Linked DNA regions of Danio rerio. The protein of the gene in region 2 purifies or fractionates together with the protein of the main gene of each other region. This does not show direct contact. Links are inferred from orthologs where the notes say so. Each region holds a gene or a part of one and is shown on either strand. Other genes may lie near its edges.

Region 1 (6,663 bases), on a different chromosome or scaffold from region 2:
AGAAAGAAAGAAACCCAGCTGTCGCAGCATCAAGAGCTGTCAAGCAAGCGCTCTTTCGCCGGTCTCTCACACACACGCACATGCATTTAAACATGCACGTTTCATGCACAAACACCTTTTAAACTTGACAAAAACTCTCGACAACATTTACTTGCTGCTGTGTGTTTAATATGGTGTTTGATCCTCGTCTGAGTATTTTATTTTTTTATTTTTATTGTTAAGACATATAATACTGTTGGGGTTGTTGAAAATTTGAAGTTCTAAAGCAGCTGTTTTCTAAAAAAAAAAAAAGACGTGATAGTGTAATTACAAACTGAAATGGAAATGACCTTATTTTAATATAGTCAGTCGTGAACTGAGGTGGGCCGGTGTGAGGCTTGAAACTCCAGAACTGAAAAGGAGTGCCACTCCGGCCCTGGTGTAAAGATTATTATGCGTTATTGAAACATCAAGAACGCAAGAAAGCAAAGAAAAATCACTTATAAATTAAAACTACTTTATTATTTTATGCAATGGCCTTACATTTAAAAGGGAAACCTAAGGGCGATCATAAGCAAAAAGACCCCAGCCTATAGGTGTTTTATGGAATAGCCTATCTTAAACTGACCAGCTATACGTTTTTCTTTTCCTCATTTATTTTGTCGCATGAACTCCTGTGCAATCGGAAAACTAGTGTAATGGCACATGCCATTTTTACCAGACTTGGGCAAAGTGTGCCTCTCACTACGCCCCCAAAGCACCAGCTGGCCCTCTTTGGCCCAAGGTATTCGGCGGGCCGAAAAAGGCCAACCGCTGGCCCCAAGGAAGCTCCGCTTTGGTCCGATCAGGCCCTGGAAGTGACAGTGGAAACGCGACAGGCCCTGGCTCACTCGCTTTAGGTGCGATAGTGGAAACGCTGCTATTGAAAAAGATGATGCACAGAGGAAAGATGAGTGTGAAGCTGCTTTTTACATTGGAGCTGTATGATAACTGCAACTACATTAATGTCAGTAGGAGGGGAGAGTAGCAAATAGGACTTGATGGCGAGTTTCATTTCACTTTTCTTTCATGACTTGCAAAATCGCCTGGGTTTGAATGCATTTCATTAGTTAATGTATTTTTTCTAACATAACCTACTTATGAACAATTTATTCATCATACTTCAACATTTACTAATGCATTATAACCAGATTCATGCTTGTTAACATTAGTTAATGCATCGGGAGTTAACATGAATAACTTTATATTCTTTAACTAACATAAACAAATACTGTAATAAACGTGTTGCTCATTGTTTGTTCATGTTAGTAAATGCATTAACTAACAAACTAATACAACCTTATTGTAAAGTGTTACCGATATTTCTATATAAACCACATTATATAGTTGCATTAGGAGAAAGATTGATGCATCTTCTCTTGTTCATTATTGATTATACAACCCCAGCATTGTTTGCTGCTCATTAAATCAGCTGCATCTGTTCCAGTGATATACAAGCCAAAGCTGATGTGTAAAAACAACACTCCCTTAAGTGCACCGGTGTCATTATTACCTTGTTGTAAAGTTTGATGTTTGTCCCTGGAGTGGTGGAGCCAAAATGAAAGACGAGCGGCGCCTGAACTGAGAAACCTTCTTCAACATCAGCAGGACGCTCGATGCACAGAGCCGACATGGTTCCAGGCACTGAGACCTGCAGGCCAAAACAATTAATCCCAAATGATGTTTAACAGAGCGAGGAATTTTTCACAGTATTTCCTATAATATTTTTTCTTCTGGAGAAAGTCTTATTTGTTTTATTTCGACTAGAATAATTGTTTTTATATTCATTTTAAGGTCAATATTATTAGCAACGTTACACAATGACTTGCCTAATAACTCTAACCTGTCTAATTAACCTAGTTAAGCCTTTAAATGTCACTTTAAGCTGAATACTAACATCTTGAAAAAAACATCTAGTCAAATATTACGTGCTGTCATCATGGCATAGATAAAATAAATCAGTTATTAGAAACATTATGTTTAGAAATGTGTTGGAAAAAAATCTCTGCATTATCAGAAATCGGGGAAAAAAAACAAACAGGAGGGCTGATAATACTTCAACTGTAGCGGCTCTATTTTGACGGTCCATGCGCAGAGCGCAAAACAGAGGGCGCAAACGCTTTCAGGGCATGTCAGGACGCGTTTTTGCTAATTTAAAGACAGGAAATCTGCCTTGCGCCGCGGCGCATGGTCTAAAAGGGTTGAGTTTATTTTCTTAATGAGTTATAGGGGTGTTTTGAGAATAAACCAATTAGAGTCTCATCTCCCATTCCCTTTAAGATCCAGCTGCGTTGCACCATAAGCGCATTTGCTATTTACAGGACGCAAAGTAAGTCTAAGTGGAAAAACTGAGCATTTCACAAGCAAACAGTTCACAGTTAACAGTTTTTTAACAGAAAACTGTTAAGAAGAGCATCTACTGCGTGAGAATGAGAGATAATGGATCTACTTTCACATTCGCTTTTGAATAGGGAAACCTTTACACACAGACATCAATTAGTCTATAAATAAATAATTGCATTTGTTAAGCGCAAATATTCGTTTCAAAACTATTTCTAAATTCAGTTCTAATTTCCAGCAAACGAATAAATGAATAATAATAACAAAGTGTGCTCAAAAACCTGAGTTATATCCTAAAACACATGCTGTGCCCCATATGGTCTAAAACCTGACAGGTGGACAAATCTAAGCTTGTTTTTAATAAAACAAATATAAATATGGATATAATAAATAATACTGCTAATAATAATAACATTATACAGAAGAAAATTGTTATGAATGAACTGAAAAAGCCTCTGGAGATGAAGACATAAAAGCAGTGATTTTTCATATTTATGTAGGCTAGAAAATCATATGTTTTGTAATATTTTAATCCTTTATATTTATATCCTATATCTATTATTATTATATCCTATATATATCCTTAATATTTACATGTTTTCATATGTAAAGATATTTGCCTATTGCTCTCTTGTGTGTATTAAGCAGTGTTAAGTGAGGTGCAACTCTGCGCCGGAGTTTAGACCGGGTTAGTTTTGGTCTAATGAAAAATCTATTATAGTTTCTCAAAATAGCAACGCGCCAGCAGTCCGCCTCAGAACGCCTTCTTTTTAGACCAGAACGCCTATGGCCGCACAAATGAGCGCTAATGCATTTGCTATTTAAACAGCGTAGCGCAACGCCTCAAAACGACTCTTGCGCCGAGCTGAAACTGGCAAACAAGTATTGCGCCACACTGCGCCGGGTGTATGATAGGGCCCTTGATCTTCACTTCTTAATAAGCCTGTTAGGTTTAGAAGATGCTGCATCGATCTCTCTGGCATCATTCACTTACACTGCTCTGGCCGACGTCCAGCTCCACCAGTGTAGGTCTGCGTCCCAGTCGCACTGCATAATTCAGCAGCATCCGACATACTGTTGACTTTCCAACATCGGTTGGGCCGACGACCATTACCTATGATGACAAATGCAGATTAAACAGATATTTAATATTCAGATAACAACCAAGAGCAGTTTATGCTTTATATTATTATGAGTTTGTATTCATTTTATTTATATATCAGTCAGTTTCTATTATTATTGGCCATACAGTTACAGCTGAAGGCAAAATTTTTAGACCTCCAGTGACATTTTAATTCTTCCGCTGTGTGTTCACGTACCCGAGGGCCTCTTTCGTTGTCTTTCTCTGCCTGCCGTCTCATCTGCTCTAGAGCCGCATGTGTGTTCAGGTACAGCAGCATCGGGGTATCTTTGGAGACATAAGCCACCTGCATTTACAGGAAAAAGCCATATTTGAGTTTGTTAATGTCATTTAAGTTTTGTTTTACTAGTGCACATTGTTAAACTTAATGTAAATAATGAGTGCAAGTTAATCTTCTGACAAAAACGTTTGTTTTTGTAATCTTCAATCAACGTCTGATTACAATCCAGCATTGAACTATGCATGTTTGCATTTTTTTTATGACAGTGGAAAAACCCCTAAATAGCAGCATACTCCAGTTTAGGTTGTGAAAATAAGAGTATGACATTGTTTAAAAGTGTAAAAGGGCTATTTCATGTTTAATCACGATTATAATTAAAACAGCATGCTTTTATTCAGTAATAGAAATCATTCAGGATGTCTCTGTACATTGCTGCATTCATCTTTCCCTCTATCCTGACTAGTCTTCCAGTTCCTGCTGCTGAAAAACATCCCCACAGCATGAAGCCAACACCACCATGCCTCAATGTAGGGATGCTATTAGCCTGCCTGCTTTTCTCCAAACGTAATGCCTGGCATTAACTCCAAAGAGTTCAATTTTCATCTCATCGGACCAGACAATTTAGTTTCTTATGGTTTGAGAGTCCTTCAGATGCCTTTTGGCAAATTTCAGGCGGGGAGTGTCTTCCGTCTGGCCACTCTACCATACAGGCCTGATTGGTGGATTGCTGCACTGATGGTTGTCCTTCTGTAAGGTTCTCCTCTCTCCACAGAAGAACGCTGGAGCTCAGACAGAGTGACCATCGGGTTATTGATCACCTCCCTGACTAATGCCCTTCTCCCTGATCACTCAGCTTAGATGGCCGGCCAGCTCTAGGAGTCCTGGTGGTTCTAAACAGCTTCCACTAACAGATGTTGGAGGCCGCTGTGCTCATTGGGACTTTCAGAGAAGCAAAAATGTTTCTGTAACCTTCCCCAGCCTTGTGCCAAGAGAAAATCCTGTCTCGGAGGACTACAGACAACTCCGTTGTCTTCAAGCTTGGTTTTTCCTTTGACATGCACTGTCCTATACACCTATAGACAGGTGTATGCCTTTTCAAATCATGTCCAGTCAACTGAATTTACCAGAGGTGGACATTTGAACAACTAAACGAATGCTTAAGTCTATTTAATTGATTGTATTTTAACAACATTACAACATTAATGCTGTAAAAAGGAACCTTATTAAATTGAAAATAGTCACAAAAACTTCCACCGTAAGTTCATCATTAGCTAAGAAACACTAGCTGTGCATATAGCCTGTTAGAAGTACATCAACACACTGAAATAAAAGTCAGGTTCAAGACTTGCTATCTCTCACCTCTGTTTTGCCTGAAAGTGCCACACCGCAGCCCTGCCAGGTAAACACAGCGATCTTAGAGCCAGGCCCGAAAGTGTATTTCTTATTGCGGTTCAGCTCAGATCCGAATATCTCAGCTAAGCCAGACAGCAGCTCCAGCTGGACTCGTTCTCCTGCTTCCACCTCAAAGCGCAGTTCTGTCTCTTTATCCAGGTCGAATCTGGTGCCTGAAGAACCAGCGCTGCCCGACGAGCTCAGGCCCTCCTCCACAGACTTTTCTGCAGCTTCTGCCGTCATGACTGTGAAGGAGAATTATCAGAGATGAAAAGGATTGTTTACATAACTGCAATCCATTATGAATTATTCTGTATGTTTAAAACCAGCAAATTATGCTATAAATTTCACGTCATGTACTTACTTTTATTCAAATTTCTGCTTAATAAAAAATTAAATAAAAAGATGGAAAGGGTTTTCAAGCATCAAAATAGATGGAATTTATATATTTATTCCAACATGCATAGAACGATGTGTCTTGTTTATATATTTTTTCATATGATAGAAGACAGTAGTGCTGCACAATACTAAGCACTGTTTTTAAGTATTGCAATAATTATATTTCTTGTGATATAAAACCTCCAGATAGATTTTTAAACTTACAAAAATAAATAGGCAATAGATTTTTCTGATCTAATTAAATCTAATTTATTCAACAAAGAACAACAACGTCATAGAGTAAAAATTTTGACTTTAAATCACTATGAATGAATTTTCTATCGTCTCGACTCCTGCCATTAGTGTATTTTTAGTTCCCCTTTGGGACGGTCTAGCCAACATCAAAACAGCACCTACTGGGGACACAGGTATAAAGTGTAAAGCCCCATCCAATTGGTCAAATTTGGACAATTAACCAAATGCATGCAACACACAAATTCTTGTCACATAAAATAAATGCAAATTATTGCACCTCTCTGTCATATGAATACTGCAATTTGATATATTCAATTTATTTCAAGAGTTCACACTTAGATACTGTTCGACAACTTGTTAGCAAGTTAGCAGGTTTGGCGTGCTGTCCCGGGAGAGAACCCTGAGCTCGGAGATAGTTGAGCCCAGGGCTCCCGCCAGGTCCATTGAGCATGTGAGGGGAGTACGAGATCAGGAGTTCTCGAGAGCTCCCCTAGGCAAAAGAGGAAAGGAGGAGAAGGGGTGGATGGGGGGTTTCTTCGGGAAACGAAGATAAGGGAGTAGTTCTTAGCTAGTTAGCTAGGTTACTTATAGTGAGTTTGGATCAATCTGATTGGCTAGCTAATGAGTGTAGATGAGTGGCCAGCTGCAGTCAATCATATCACATGCTCCTCTCGAAATTAGTTTGTGAAACTTCATTTAGGACAACCACTAAAATGCTATTCAGTGTAACAATCTTATATACAGGGTGGGGGAATAGTAACTAGGCTATTTTAATAGCTATAGAAGTTTTAGTATGACTGGAGTCACAATGAAAGCAGTCTATAAACAGATTAATAAAAAGAATTTTATATTTTCCATGTTAATATTTGAAAAAATTGACTTCATTACAATTTTTTATTGCCTGGTTATATATATATAT
Region 2 (7,425 bases):
TAAACTATTGTTTAGAAATGTGTTGAAAAAAATCTCTCCGTTAAAAGAAATTAATTTAATAATTCAGGAGGGCTAATAATTCTGAATAATTCAACTGTACGTAACGTCAGTTGCGCATAACATGCGTTTGGCTGCCAGTGAGTGGAATTTCGTTGATTTGGATTTTTTGTTGTTGTTATAAATACACATTGATCTGTTTCATAATACAAGCATTAACACTTTGGCACCATATGGGATAGTTTGATTTTTGAAAGCTTCAAAATAAAAGCCACCATCCAATACCATTATACAGCATGCAGAATACAATTGAAAACCACTCCGACTAAAGCCTGGTTTATACTTCTGCGTCAAGTGATCGGCGTGACCCACGGAGCATGCAATGCGCGTAAAGGCTGATTTATACTTCTCCGTAAAATGCCGGCGTATGCTACGGCGCTGACGCATAGCCCTTCGCCGTGGCCATCGGCGTCACTGACGTGCGCCTCTAAAAAAATGTAACTACACGTCGCAACAACGCGTAGCGCAAGCTCTGTGATTGGTCGGCTTGGTAGCGCTGACGAGTCTGGGCGGGACCGAGAGCCACGCGAATGGCGCGAGCGATTGTTTACAAGTGTGGAGTCCCGTGAAGGAACTCCGGAAAGTTTTGTTCTGTGTTTACCTCATGGTTAAAGTTGTTGCACGTCCGCCGGTTCCTGCCTCAAAATGAGCAAGTTTGAGCCACTTGTACATCCTGGAAGCGTTCAGGAAAAGCAAAAAAAGTGAAGAAACTCGACACAGAGAAACATTTACACCTCACTGCCAACTAGAGTTTCGGAAGTGTTAATTCAGACCAACAGAGACAGCGCGCAGAAGTATAAATGCACAGCTGCGCGCGTTGCCTGCGCCGTGAGTTACGCCGGTCACTTGACGCAGAAGTATAAACCAGGCTTAACTGTGCATTCATACTTCTGCGCACTGTTTCTGTTGCTCTGCATTAACATTTCCGAAAAGCTAGTTGCCAGTGAGGGTTTTATGTTCCTCTGTGTCGAGTTTCTACGCTGGTGTTTTGTTTTTTCCTGAACGCTTCCTTAAATGTACAAGTGGTTCAAACTCGCTCATTTTGAGGGAGGAACCGGCTGAAGTGCACTTTAATTATAAGGTAAACACAAAACAAAACTTTTCATCTGGAGCTCTCGGTCCCGTTCACACTCGTCAGCGCTACCAAGCCGACCAATCACAGAGCTACCGCTACGCGTCATTGCGACAAGTAGTTACATTTTTTGAGATGGTATGAGAGTGAGTAAATTATGGGGTAATAATCATTTCTGGGTGAACTATTCCATTAAAATCGACTATCATGTTGAATATTGTAAAAGGTGTTGCAAAAAAAAATTGCAAAATTAACGTATTAAGATTAAAGTAATAGAATATAAAAACCCACATTAACATTATTTTAGTTTCCCAGTAATGAGTTGCGGCTGGAAAGACATCCACTGCATAAAACATATGCTGGAATAGTTGGTGGCTCATTCTGCTGTGGCGATCCCTGGTAAATAAGGCACTGAGCCAGCGAACAAAAAATGAATGAATGAACATTATTTTAAGTTTAAACCTAAAGTCTCAAGGTGCAGTGTTTTGAAAGCACTTATTACTACTTGCAGTGACTTTACAGTAAATGCTGACAGCGTGTCTTAGGGTGCTTTCACACCTACACTTTTGTTTTGGAATGTGTCTCGTTTGCCCAGTTAGTGCGTTTCGTTTGGCATATGTGAACAGTTTCAATCGCGCTCTGTTCTGCGCCAAACTAGTCGCTCCGAGATCGCTTGAATGAGGTGGTCTCGGCTCGATTGAAACGAACCCTGGAGCGGTTCGATTGCAGTGAGAAAGCGATCCGATCCGAGCGCGGTTATATCACAGTGTTTTATGGATATGTAATAGGCTTACGGCTATATGAAGAGAGAATTATGAGTATGGCGGGAAGTTTCGCGAGTCTCTGGATGCCCGCAAACGAGTGATGATCTCCTGGTAATCTCGCGTCTCCCTCCCAGTCCTCAAATAGGCATCGTCGCGCACCCTTCTCACCCCTCCCCACCGCGTCTCTCCTCAGACACGTCACGCGTGCGCACCCTGTCAATCACCACCAAACCACCACCTCTCCTGACAGCTTAGCGGGACGCTGTAAAATAAATCCTGACACTCTGACCAATGTAAGGAGAGTTTACTCGCACGTGACTTGTTTTAGCTCTTTTGGTCCGACTGGAAACTTTGCAGTGTGAAAGCGAACCGCACCAAGAGCAAAGAGCAACAATGCAACATTTGTAATCTCTGTTTCGGAACAACTGAATCGAACACAAGTGTGGAAGCACCCTTACTCTCTGTGCTTGATGGATCTGTGTGAAGGCAGAGGGTAAATCATCTGGACCGATTCTCCTTCCTTCTCTCGACCCTCCAGAAGAACCGCCTGTAACTCCGGACAGGAAACCCCGACCACATCTTTCCATTTACGCACTGTAAACAAAGATTAAAGGGATAGTTCATCCGAAAATGAAATATTAATTTACTCGCTCTCAAGTGGTTCCAAACCCTTTATGGGATTCCTTCTGCTGATGAACCCAAAAAGAAGGTGTTTTGAAGAATGTCGAAAACCGATAGCCATTGACTTCCATAGTAGGAAAAAAACATGGAAGTCAATGGCTAATATTTTTTATAATACAGAAACACTGTAAGGTTTATCATTTAACACTGAAACAACAACTGACGTACTTTCAACCGTATTTCAACATTGGAGCTTGGTCGTATGCAGGTTGGTTTTCAACCGTTCTACATCAAACAATGTATCAACATTGTTTCAATGTAAAAAAACAAAAAAAACAATACATCTGATTTCAATCATATTTCAGTATTGAAAACAGGTCGTTTGACGAGTGGGTTCTGTTGTATTCAGCAGATGTTGTCCGGAATCTCTTAAAGGTGAGTAAATGGGTAAATAACATTTTGGGGTGAACTGCCCTTTAAGGGTCATTTAGTCTCTTTTTATAGTTTCAACTTGATTTTATTTTATGCAAGAAGGAACATTACAAAGATACAATATGAACAAAAACACACAGGGGTTACATAAATAAAAATCCAGCAGATTAAACAAGTTTAAATGATTTACACCAAGAAAAGTTTTCATGCAATATAATTGTTAGTCTTTTAAAGAGTTCACATATAAATCAAAGTCCTTTCTGAAAATAAAAAGTAAGGGTGTTTCTTCGAAAATGTACATTTATGGATGTAAAATTTATAATAAATTAATAATAAATGTACAATGAGAAGGATCTACATTCAGAGAGTAACCAAAGAATACAATTTTTGGGGAAATACAAAAGTTTGGGAAAAAATTTTTTTTTATGAAATTGGAAGTCGACCCAAAAACTTTACAATAAGTGCACTCCCAAAATAAATTATTTAGTGTTTCATCATATTGAGTACAAAATGAACATTTAGGGAATAATATTGTTTTTAAATTGAGCTAGTTTAGTATTTATTGGGTTATGTATTATGATTGATTTTGATTGAGACTACAACAGCTTTATTAGATACAAATATTTTTTTTCCTAAGAAGACAAAACTGATCCCAATCTATGTCTATGCAAGCAGGTAAAGATATCCGAGAATTATTAATAACCAAGCGAATATCTTTGTTCGACATAAAACTGAGAAGAGTTTGGTCATCAAAAAGTATAAAAAGCCAATAATAAAAGAATCTAGAGAACCTTTGGGGCCAGATTGGACTAAAAATATAACAAAGTCAGGGATTGCATCAAAAACTGTGGCATATTCTTTTGGGGGGGATGTTCAACTTGATATTCTACGGTACTTTTAGACTGTTGACATCACCTTCCGTCAGATCCATGTACACCAGGAAGGCAGCATGTACTTGAACACTGTCTCCGACTTCTAAACGCATCAGCTCTTGGTACTGAAGAACAAATTAAACAACAATTGTACACATATGCAGTACACATTTACATTCATTTATCTTTACATGAAGAAGAATGTGACTCTCTTACGACAGTGTGCTGCTGGATCCAGTTCGGAGGAGGATTTGCTGGATTTGCTTCGTCCATCACAATTATCAACTCTCCTTCCGTTTTTTAAAAGCCCATAATGAATCAATGCGTGTGGCAAAAATCGTGTTTGCTGATTTACCATGTGCGCGTACACTAGAACATGTGTGAATTGCGAATCCTACTACCCCGAAGGCTGTTGTTATGAATATTTAGTAAGTCGCTTTTCTACAAAACCAATCACGTACTTAATTTAATAGTCATGAGGCAACAACAGAGACGGCGATTGGCCAATATTTACATACTACAACAAGTGTCGAATGGACTTCAAATCAGCGACGCCCACTGTGCGAACGTAGCTTGACTTCAAAAACCATATAATTATTTGCGAAAAATAATTGCTTTGTACGATTCAAGCTTCTTTCTAAAAAATAATAGTTCATTACCTAGTGTATATCTTGATTAATTGGTGCGTATAAGGCTTTAATAATGTTCTAATATAGATCGGTCGTTGAACACAACCAGATTGTTATTGTCCCGTCTTTATATGAATCCGTGTAGAAACAGTACACTATCTCAATAGGCCCGCATTGATACAGACGAATTCAGGACAAATCTTATTTTTTATTTTTACAGTTTGTTATAGAAGTTGTCTGCCAGTCTATTATCAGTCAAAAATACAACTGTTAATTCCAATTCTTTATTGATTTTTCAAAATAATTACACTACAAAACAGTAACGCATTTATACATATTGTATGACTGTGGCTTATAAAAATATACTAATATCTTCTTTTATATAGCGCTCAACATATGCAGTATATACTTTAGAAGACATATCAGAAATAGTCCTATTTGGAAAAGCTGTAACAGATTAATACACCTACACATTAACTTCTTTTTATGTAGCTATCTATTTATTTTGTTAAAGCCATTTTTTTAAGATTTATTTTCGGGGTTCAGTCTTTATTACAATAGGACAGTGCATAGTCATGAAGCAAAATAAGATTTATTCTTCCTCTGGTATGTAAATTAGAAACAAATGTAAAAATGTGTGCAATTGTAACGGAGGCCAGCTAGTGTGTGCAGGTAAACCTTACTCATCTGACCTCTAAAGGTGCTCTAGCAACCCACACTAAAGGCCATGGTGTTTAGCCTCCTTGTTAGTGCAACCGACTCCCATGCGGAAGGTCGCCAGATCGATACCAGCTCAGAGCGGGTTGGGTGGTGTAGGACCGGCAGGTTTACACAATGTTGTAGAAAAAGATCTTTAAAAGGCTACAAACTACCTGCATTGAAACAAGTCACATAAACAAAAACCCCAACAGAATATGTGTTATAATAATAAACACTAGAGTTTAAAAGCACATAAGCAGTCAAATATTCTTACAATCTAATATAATTGTTTAAATTTGAACATGTTTTCAATTTTAATTTATTCCTGTAATTCAACGCTAAATTTTCAGCATAATTACTGCATTCTTCAATGTCAAACATTCCTTCAGAAATAATTTTCTTAATGCATCCTCACTGAATAAAAAAGTATTTTCTCTCCAAACCTTTAAAGCATAGTGTTTTCCTATTCTGTATTCTTATTCTTTTGTATAAACCGGATTACTCCAGAAAGAAGAAAGTCTCTTTGAAAGTTCTAAAAAGCCATCTAAAATAACAAGAAACAGGGTCCATATACTTTTTTAAAATCAAATTTAAGCACTTTTCAAGCACTTTCCAAATGCTTGCATGCAAGTGTGGCAAATTAAATATTTTCATACATATACACACTACACCAAATAAGATGCGATTTGTTCATGTATTTTGTAGTGAAGTATTCTAAGGAAACATTTTTATGGCATGTTTTCCCCATGCCAGACACTGATTTATTTGATTTTACACCTTTAAGCTAGATTTAGGCGGTTTTATTTTATGCGAAAGCAAAATCACTGTGTTTTATTTCATTTAAAGGGGACCTATTATGTGTGGCAGCAGTGTGTGAATACAATCAGCCTCTAATGGAAAAAAAATAATATATATTTTTTATAATCACACTTGCAAAAACACATTCTGGACATTCTCCCTTTTTAACGTCATCAGAAGGGTAAAAACCCCACCTGTTAGTGACGATATCTTGCTCATTAGTAAATTAGTATTTGTGCGTCCACATTGAAGACGGTGCGAGCGTCAAAGCTTCCTTCCTAATCTCCACTTTCCTTCCTAATCTGCAATTGCCTCCCTGGCTCCACCGCTAACTGTACTCAAAAAACTTGCCTACAGCACTTATTCATTGTTGCTCTTATAGTTGTGTAAATTGCTTCTGCGTACTCATTTGTAAGTCTCTTTGGATAAAAGCGTCTGCTAAATGACTAAATGTGAATGTAAATGTAAGTTCGCTCTGGATGCCCTGATGACAACGTTGTCTGCCTTCCCTGCTCCACCGGCGAGAGTGTCAAAATTCGCAACATTGATCTCGTATTTAAAGAGGTCGTTGCAGCAAATCAGTTACAATCCTGCATAAAACATGCCTTTTAGCGTGCAAAAAGTTGCACACTTTTTATCAAATTCATTTAACTGTAGAAGATTAAGTTGTTGCGTGTGGTGTGGCTTTGCTCCACTTATCCAGTACGTGTCCATATGTCTGAGATATTCTGAAGCAGCAATACTGTTTTGTACTGTCGTTATAGTAAGCATGAGATTCACACTTTTTTTTCCTTTTTTTTCTTTCTTTTTTTTTAAACAAAAAATACATATATAATGCTAATGCACATCAGTAACTCGCCAGTAACTTTTTTATGTATGTCACTGTAGGAAAACATTGTAAATAATTGGATATTTGGCAACCGCAATAATTAAGCCAACCCAGGCTCATTCTGAAAACGTAGTCCCGCGGACGTTTCTGGAGACCGCAAATCATGTAGCTGGAGGTACGTATGGGTGCATTTCATTTTTCAAGCGAACGCTACAGGCCGTATGACGCCATTACTTTCCGCGTTGACCGCTTACCTCCATGTGTAGGGCTTTTTCCGCTGCAACTAGTTTGTCTAGTTAGCTCGTCGTGTACGTCGGCAGACATGAGACGCAGAGAGGAGCTGACGGCGAAGACAGGGTTCAAGTCTGGGGAAGATCAGTTACAGAAATCAGGTAAGATGAAAACAGAATCCAAAAATTGAAGTAAGCAAGTTCATAACAGGGTGAGATTGTGGTAAGATCCGAAGACGTGGTAAAAATTAGACGAGGGCTTTTCTTTTTCTGGTCAATCTGTAAAATTGGTTGCGTTTGGGGAAGGAGGAGGGAGAGTCAGCCGATTGGCCGGTCGCCAAGTCAATCATTCAGCCAGTCAGATAGACGGTCGTTCGACAGCGGCCTCTGGTGGGTTTACGCGAGAACAGCGCGGGGGCGAA
Region 3 (6,663 bases), on a different chromosome or scaffold from region 2:
CCATAATCCCCCTGAGATGCACAGGTGCTGTACTGAGTCGAGTTGTAGTTTGATAAATGCAGCTTTAATACACATCAGTTGGAAGTTTAAAGTCTTTGAAGCAGTAAAAGGAGATGTCACCGTGATCCACCACTGCGAATGTCACCGGGACGTCCTGGCTCTGGAAGGAGAGCTGCTTCACAGCATGCAGATCCGGCACAGGGCCCGCAAAACTGACAAACACACACACACAAACACAGTACGTCAGATCAGACGCTCACATACAGAGTCACACACGTTACACGGTATGATATGCAGTGAAGGTGGCTCAGTGGTTAGCACTGTGGCCTCACAGCAAGAAGGTCGCTGGTTCGAGCCCCGGCTGGGTCAGTTGGTGTTTCTGTGTGGCGTTTGCATGTTGGCGCGGGTTTTCTCCGGGTGCTCCAAACACATGCGCTGTAGGGGAATCCCTAAATTGGCCGTAGTGTAGGAGTGTGTGTGTGTGAATGAGTGTGCATGGGTGTTTCCCAGTACTGGGTTGCAACTGGAAGGGTATCCGCTGTGTAAAACATGCTGGAATAGTTGGCGGTTCATTCTGTTGTGATGAAAAAAGGGACTAAGCTGATGGAAAATGCATGAATTAATAAATAAATAAACAATAGAGCTTAAACTACGGTGAAATAGAAGTTATGCGAGAGAAAATAAGAGCAAATATAAAATATTTTAAGATTTTTGAATAGAGAAATCATTAGAGCTGAACCGATATTGGCCGATACCGATAGTTAGGTCAGACCATGCATGCAGATAATCAATTGATTAACTGATTAATTAATTAATACTGGATTAAAATAAATAAATAAACAAAGCACTCATTGTAAAACAGTATTAAATGTGTATACACACACACACAAACTGATATAGATCAACTGATTTTGGAATTTGCAGATAGTGATAGCTGGGATGGACCAAATATGCAGATAAACGATTAATTAACAAACTTAATTAACTTTAAAAATGAATACTGGATTATATACAATAACAGAATAAACATACAGTCCATGTAAAATAGTAATGAACTTGTATACACACACACACACACCCACACACACACACACACACACACACACACACACACACACATATACTACACTGAAAATATATGCTAAATTAATAACCGATGAAAATAAATAGGCTGTCACGATGGTGCAGTGTGTAGCACGATCACCTCACAACAATAAGGTCGCTGTTTCGAGCCTCGGCTGGGTCAGTTGGCATTTCTGTGTGGAGTTTGCATGTTCTCCCCGTGTGGTCGTGGGTTTCAACCGAGTGCTCCGGTTTCCCACAGTCCAAACACATGCGCCAAAGGGGAATTGAGTAGGCTAAATTGTTCGTAGTCTATGAGTGTGTATGGATGTTTCCCAGTGATGGGTTGCGGCTGGAAGGTCATCCGCTGCGTATGCTGGATAAGTTGGCGGTTCATTGTGTTGTGGCGACCCATGATTATTAAAGGGACTAAGCCGAAAATAAAATAAACAAGTGAACGATTGAATACAAATAATCATAACACTCATTGTAACATAGAACTAAATGTGTACACACACACACACACACACACACACACACAGAACTGAAAATGTGCTAAATGATAGTAAACCAAAAGCATTCATTGAGAAACACAAATCTTAGTCCATTTTAATAGTATTTTTGACATTTAAACTGATTTAAAGTAATACCCCTGCTAGCTTTAATCTCATCTGAGAATTTTTATACTGTACTTTAGAATATATGCCTAAAAACTGCTCTTTTACTCATGTAAATAAACATGAGACCTCAAAAGGTTTAGATTTCCCCGTATTATGTTCCATGTCATTGATAAATTCAGTAAAAACCCAAACTAATCATCCAGAATGAATCAGCAGTGAGTAAAGATCCACCGACTGTATGATTAAGACAAAACGTAAAAGACACCAGTCATTGTGCGCCATCATAAAGCATGAAATCAATCACTGGACTCATTTGGGTGCATTGTGTGTGTGTGTGTGTGTGTGTTTACCTGCAGACACACATGCGTGTGTAAGGCTTTCCAGGGTGGCTCTTTTTAAACTCCGCCACCGTGTCTGGTTGGTAAACATCGAAACTAATCTTCCACTGGTCTGACGGGGACAATCTGAGGAAACAGAGGCTAATTATGATCTCGAACGCTTGTTTGACTCGCTTCATTCTGAGAGAAGAGTCAAAGCAGCCAGTTTCATGACATCACTGTGGTGTAAGTTTCATTAAAACACACGGACAATGGCTTTAAAAAGATTTAAACATTAAAAAAGCCAGACTCGAATGTTGAATTGCGTCCGTATTAGTTTCAAGAGGGAGAGCGGGAGGTTGCCATAATTCTTTTCTTTCTGTCTGTCTTTCTTTCCTTTTAATTTTTTTCTTCTTTTTCTTTCTTTCATTCATTCTTTCCTTTCTTCATTCCTACTGTCCTTCGTTCTTTCTTTCCTTTCCAATCGTTCTTTTTTATTTCCCCACTTTGTTGTATTTTACCATTGGAGTCAATGTAAATTTGCTGTGTTTTGGAGCCAGCCCCCGGTGGCCAGATGATGAATTGCAGTTTTGGTTACTTCTGTATTAGTTTCAAGTAGAAGAAGCAGGAGGTTGCCATTGTTCTTCCTTTCTGTACTTTTAATCCATTCTTTCTTTTCGCTTCTTTCTTTTCTTTTTCTTTTTTTTACTTCTCTTTCCTTCATTATTTCCTACTTTTTTCATTCCTACAGTCCATCGTTCTTTCTTTCCCCTGTTTCTCTTTCATTTCCCTACTTTCTTGTATTTTAACATTGGAGTCAATGTAAATTTGCTGTGTTTTGGAGCCAGCCCCCGGTGGCCAGTTGATGAACTGCAGTTTTAGTTACTGCTGTATTAGTTTCAAGTGGGAGAGTAGAAGGTTGCCATCGCTTCTTCCTTATTTATTTCTTTCATTTCCCTTTTTTTCTTTCATTATTTTTCTTTTCCTTTCTTTCCTTCATTCCTTCTTTCTTTCCTTGATTCCTTGTGTGCATTGTTCTTTCCTTTCCCTTCTTTCTTTCATTTCACTTCTTTCTTTTTCTTTCAATATACCTACTTTCTTGCATTAAACATTGGAGTCAATGTAAATATGCTCAGTTTTGGGGTCAGCCCCCAGTGGCCAGCTGAAGAATTGCAGTATGAGTAACTTCCGTATTAGTTTGGGAAGATTGCTACTTGACATACACATGGATATCGTTTGTCTCACCATCGTTTCATTTTCGTTAAATGAATTAATATATCTCTTTATTTGACATGGATCAAACGCTCAGACAGGGAAAGATAGTAAAAGGAGAGCAAACTGTGAGAGTGTATAAACACCTGGAAAGACCCTCAGAGAAAGTAGAGGACTTGATGATGCCGATCTGGTCCAGCAGTTCACCTGCAGCACACAAAATACAACAAGAGGAAAGTCACACGGGCATTTACCACAAACAAAAACTCTTAAGAGAACCTTTTTCTTGCAGTGCAGGCGACAGTGTAAGTCAGCCTTTAGTGGAGTCATAGTGCTGTTTTCTGTGAGGTGCACACGTGATGAACGGCATTCCTTTATTTAAATTGTTCTTTCTTTCCTTTCCCTTCTTTCTCTTTCCTTCAGTCCTTCTTTTTCTTTCCTTCATTCTTTCTTTTTTAAATTGTTCTTTCCTTTCCCTTTTTTCTTTCTTTCATTTCTTTCCTTATCTTTCTTCTTCTTTCTTTGTCTTTCCTCCAGTCATTTCTTTTTTTAATCATTACTTCATTTTACTGTCTTTCTTTGCGTTTGTTCTTTCTTTTACTTCTTACCTTCTTTCTTTCGATCATTCCCTCTTTCTTTCCCTCTTTCATCAATTCCTTTCTTTCCCTATTTTCTTGCTTTCTTTTCTCCAGCCCTTCTTTCTTTTTCTTTCCCCCTTTCTTTTACTTCTTACCTTCTTTCTTTCGATCATTCCCTCTTTCTTTCCCTCTTTCATCAATTCCTTTCTTTCCCTATTTTCTTGCTTTCTTTTCTCCAGCCCTTCTTTCTTTTTCTTTCCCCCTTTCTTTTACTTCATCTTTCTTTCCCTCTCTTTTCTACATTCTTTATTCTATCTTTCCATCTTTTTCTTTCTTTGCATCATTCTTTCTTTCTTCTACTTCTTTCCCTCATTACTTTTCTTTCCATTCTTTCTTTCTCTTGCCTTCAGTCCTTTCTTTTTTACTTTCCTTTTCTTTCTAACAATCTTACCTTCCCCCCTTTCTTTTACCTTTTCTTTCTTTCCCTCTCTTTTCTTCATTCCTGCTTTCTTTCCATCATTCTTTCTTTCTTTGTCTTTCCTTTAGTCCTTCTTTCTTTTTCTTTCAATCATTCTCTTTTTACTCTCTTTTACTTCATTCCTTATCTTTCTTTCCCTCTTTCATTAACTACTTTTCTTTCCCTATTTTCTTGCTTTCTTTTCTCCAGCCTTTCTTTTTCTTTCCACCATTCTTTCTTTTCCCCCTTTCTTTTACTTCTTTATCTTTCCCTCTTTTCTTCATGCTTTATTCTGTATCTTTCCATCTTTTTCTTTTCTTTGCATCATTCTTTCTTTTCTCTTTCTTTCTTCTACTTCTTTCCCTCATTCCTTTTCTGCTCTTTCCATTATTTCTTTCTCTTTCCTTCAGTCCTTCTTTCTTTTTCTTTCTAACAATCTTACATTTCCCCTTTCTTTTACTTATCTTTCTTTTTCTTTCTTTCCCTCTCTTTTCTTCATTCCTGCTTTCTTTCCATCATTCTTTCTTTATTTCTCTTTCCTTTAGTCCTTCTTTCTTTTTCTTTCAATCATTCTCTTTTTACTCTCCTTTACTTCATTCCTTATCTTTCTTTCCTTCTTTCATTAACTACTTCTTTCGTTCCCTTTTTTCTTGCTTTCTTTTCCCTTCAGTCCTTCTTTCATTCCTTATTTCTTTTACCTGCCATCATTCTTTCCTTTCCCCCTTTATTTTACTTCTTTCCTCATCTCTCTTTTCTTCATTCTACCTTTTCTTATCTCTCCATCTTTCTTTTCTTTCCATCATTCTTTCTTTTCACTTTTTTCTTGCTTTCTTTCCTTCAGTCCTTATTTCGTTCCTTCTTTCTTTTTCTTTCCATCATTCTTTCTTTTCCCCCTCTTTTACTTCTTTATCTTTCCTTTCCTCTCTTTTCTTCATTCTTTTATTCTATATCTTTCCATCTTTTTCTTTTCTTTGCATCATTCTTTCTTTTCACTTTCGTTCTTGTACTTCTTTCCCTCTCTTTCCTTCATTCCTTTTCTTTCTTTCTCTTTCCTTCAGTCCTTCTTTCTTTTTCTTTCTAACAATCTTACCTTTCCCCTTTCTTTTACTTCTTTCATTATCTTTCTTTCCCTCTCTTTTCTTCATTCCTGCTTTCTTTCCATCATTCTTTCTTTATTTGTCTTTTCTTTAGTCCTTTCTTTTTCTTTCAATCATTCTTTCTCTTTACTCTCTTTCTTTTACTTCTTTCCTTATCTTTCTTTCCCTCTTTTATTAACTCATTCTTTCGTTCCCTTTTTTCTTGCTTTCTTTTTCTTTCAGTCCTTCTTTCATTCCATCTTTCTTTTTCCTGCCATCATTCTTTCCTTTCCCCCTTTATTTCACTTCATTCCTCATCTTTCTTTTCCTCTCTTTTCTTCATTTTCTTATCTTTCCATCTTTTCTTTTCATCATTCTTTCTTTTCACCTTTTTCTTGTACTTCTTTCCTTATCTTTCTTTCCTTCATTCCTTTTCTTCCAACAATCTTTCTTTCCCCCTTTCTTTCTTTTACTTCTCTCCTTATTTATTTTTCTTTTGTTCCCTCTCTTTTCTTCATTCTTTCTTTCCTTATCTTTCCATCATTCATTCATTCGTTTTCTTTCCTTCATTCTTTCTGTCTTTCTTTCATTTCTCTTCTCCAGTCTTTACCCAGTCACCATTAAATCCTCTCCCAGTAAGCCTCATTATTCAGTCATCTAGTGTAAAGTACATCTTACGGTGTGATGTGCACTGTCCGGGCTGAGTGAGCGGCGTCTCCTCTCTCTCCCACAGGTGTTCAGGTCTGTGTTTTCTCCTCCGCCTCCTCCGTTCCTCCATCAGCTCTGAATATTCTGCCCAGTTCCTGCAGCGCCGCACCTCCCGGTCACTGTTAACATCCCTGCGGTATCTGTCCCGCTCCCTCTGTCGCTCCATGTCCCGCCGCGACAGCTTCTCCTGCTTCATGTTGAGTCTGCCCAGCCAGCGGGACACGTCACATTCACCCACATCTACATTTTCCGGCAGCAGGCTGCGGTGTGGAGACGCCAAACGCTCAGATCTCCTGCGGGAGCCCAGATCTGGGAAACTAATGCTGCTGAAGTCCCAACGGGGAGCTGCAGTTTGGGTTTTTGGGTGTTTTTGCTGGACGTCCTCCTCCATCCACCATGTCCTCTCAGGTGCGTCAGCTAAATGTACCGGCTCCTGCAGATCTGCTGGTAGTTTACTGGTCTCCGCTAGCTCATTGTGAGCTTCAGATGTCGTCTTCTCCTCTGTTGATATGCCGTGTTTATCACTGAACCAAAAGGTATGAATTAGCATTAAGAGATAATTTAGGTCACCATTAGATCAAAATTGGCCACTCATTTTGTCGGCCCATGCTCACTGGAATACTTCCTAAGCCT

The links.
Region 1: the proteins of tsen15 (region 2) and clp1 purify together in Homo sapiens (affinity purification with mass spectrometry; 4 studies listed by BioGRID and IntAct, counting the BioPlex papers as one, with this or other methods). This does not show direct contact. The link is inferred for Danio rerio from reciprocal best matches to the Homo sapiens genes TSEN15 and CLP1.
Region 3: the proteins of tsen15 (region 2) and tsen54 purify together in Homo sapiens (affinity purification with mass spectrometry; 4 studies listed by BioGRID and IntAct, counting the BioPlex papers as one, with this or other methods). This does not show direct contact. The link is inferred for Danio rerio from reciprocal best matches to the Homo sapiens genes TSEN15 and TSEN54.

What each region holds. Positions count from the first base shown.
Region 1 is NC_133189.1:53,769,776-53,776,438, reverse strand, and holds part of clp1 (polyribonucleotide 5'-hydroxyl-kinase Clp1), read right to left. Parts: intron 5,357-6,663; 5' UTR 5,355-5,356; coding exon 5,079-5,354; intron 3,786-5,078; coding exon 3,678-3,785; intron 3,473-3,677; coding exon 3,353-3,472; intron 1,670-3,352; coding exon 1,532-1,669; intron 1-1,531. UniProt on the Homo sapiens protein: Polynucleotide kinase that can phosphorylate the 5'-hydroxyl groups of double-stranded RNA (dsRNA), single-stranded RNA (ssRNA), double-stranded DNA (dsDNA) and double-stranded DNA:RNA hybrids. dsRNA is phosphorylated more efficiently than dsDNA, and the RNA component of a DNA:RNA hybrid is phosphorylated more efficiently than the DNA component.
Region 2 is NC_133177.1:10,293,307-10,300,731, reverse strand, and holds the start of tsen15 (tRNA-splicing endonuclease subunit Sen15), read right to left. Parts: upstream 4,261-7,425; 5' UTR 4,092-4,260; coding exon 4,035-4,091; intron 3,944-4,034; coding exon 3,862-3,943; intron 2,488-3,861; coding exon 2,352-2,487; intron 1-2,351. UniProt on the Homo sapiens protein: Non-catalytic subunit of the tRNA-splicing endonuclease complex, a complex responsible for identification and cleavage of the splice sites in pre-tRNA. It cleaves pre-tRNA at the 5' and 3' splice sites to release the intron.
Region 3 is NC_133178.1:65,647,016-65,653,678, reverse strand, and holds part of tsen54 (tRNA-splicing endonuclease subunit Sen54), read right to left. Parts: intron 6,555-6,663; coding exon 6,001-6,554; intron 3,419-6,000; coding exon 3,358-3,418; intron 2,147-3,357; coding exon 2,033-2,146; intron 213-2,032; coding exon 65-212; 3' UTR 1-64.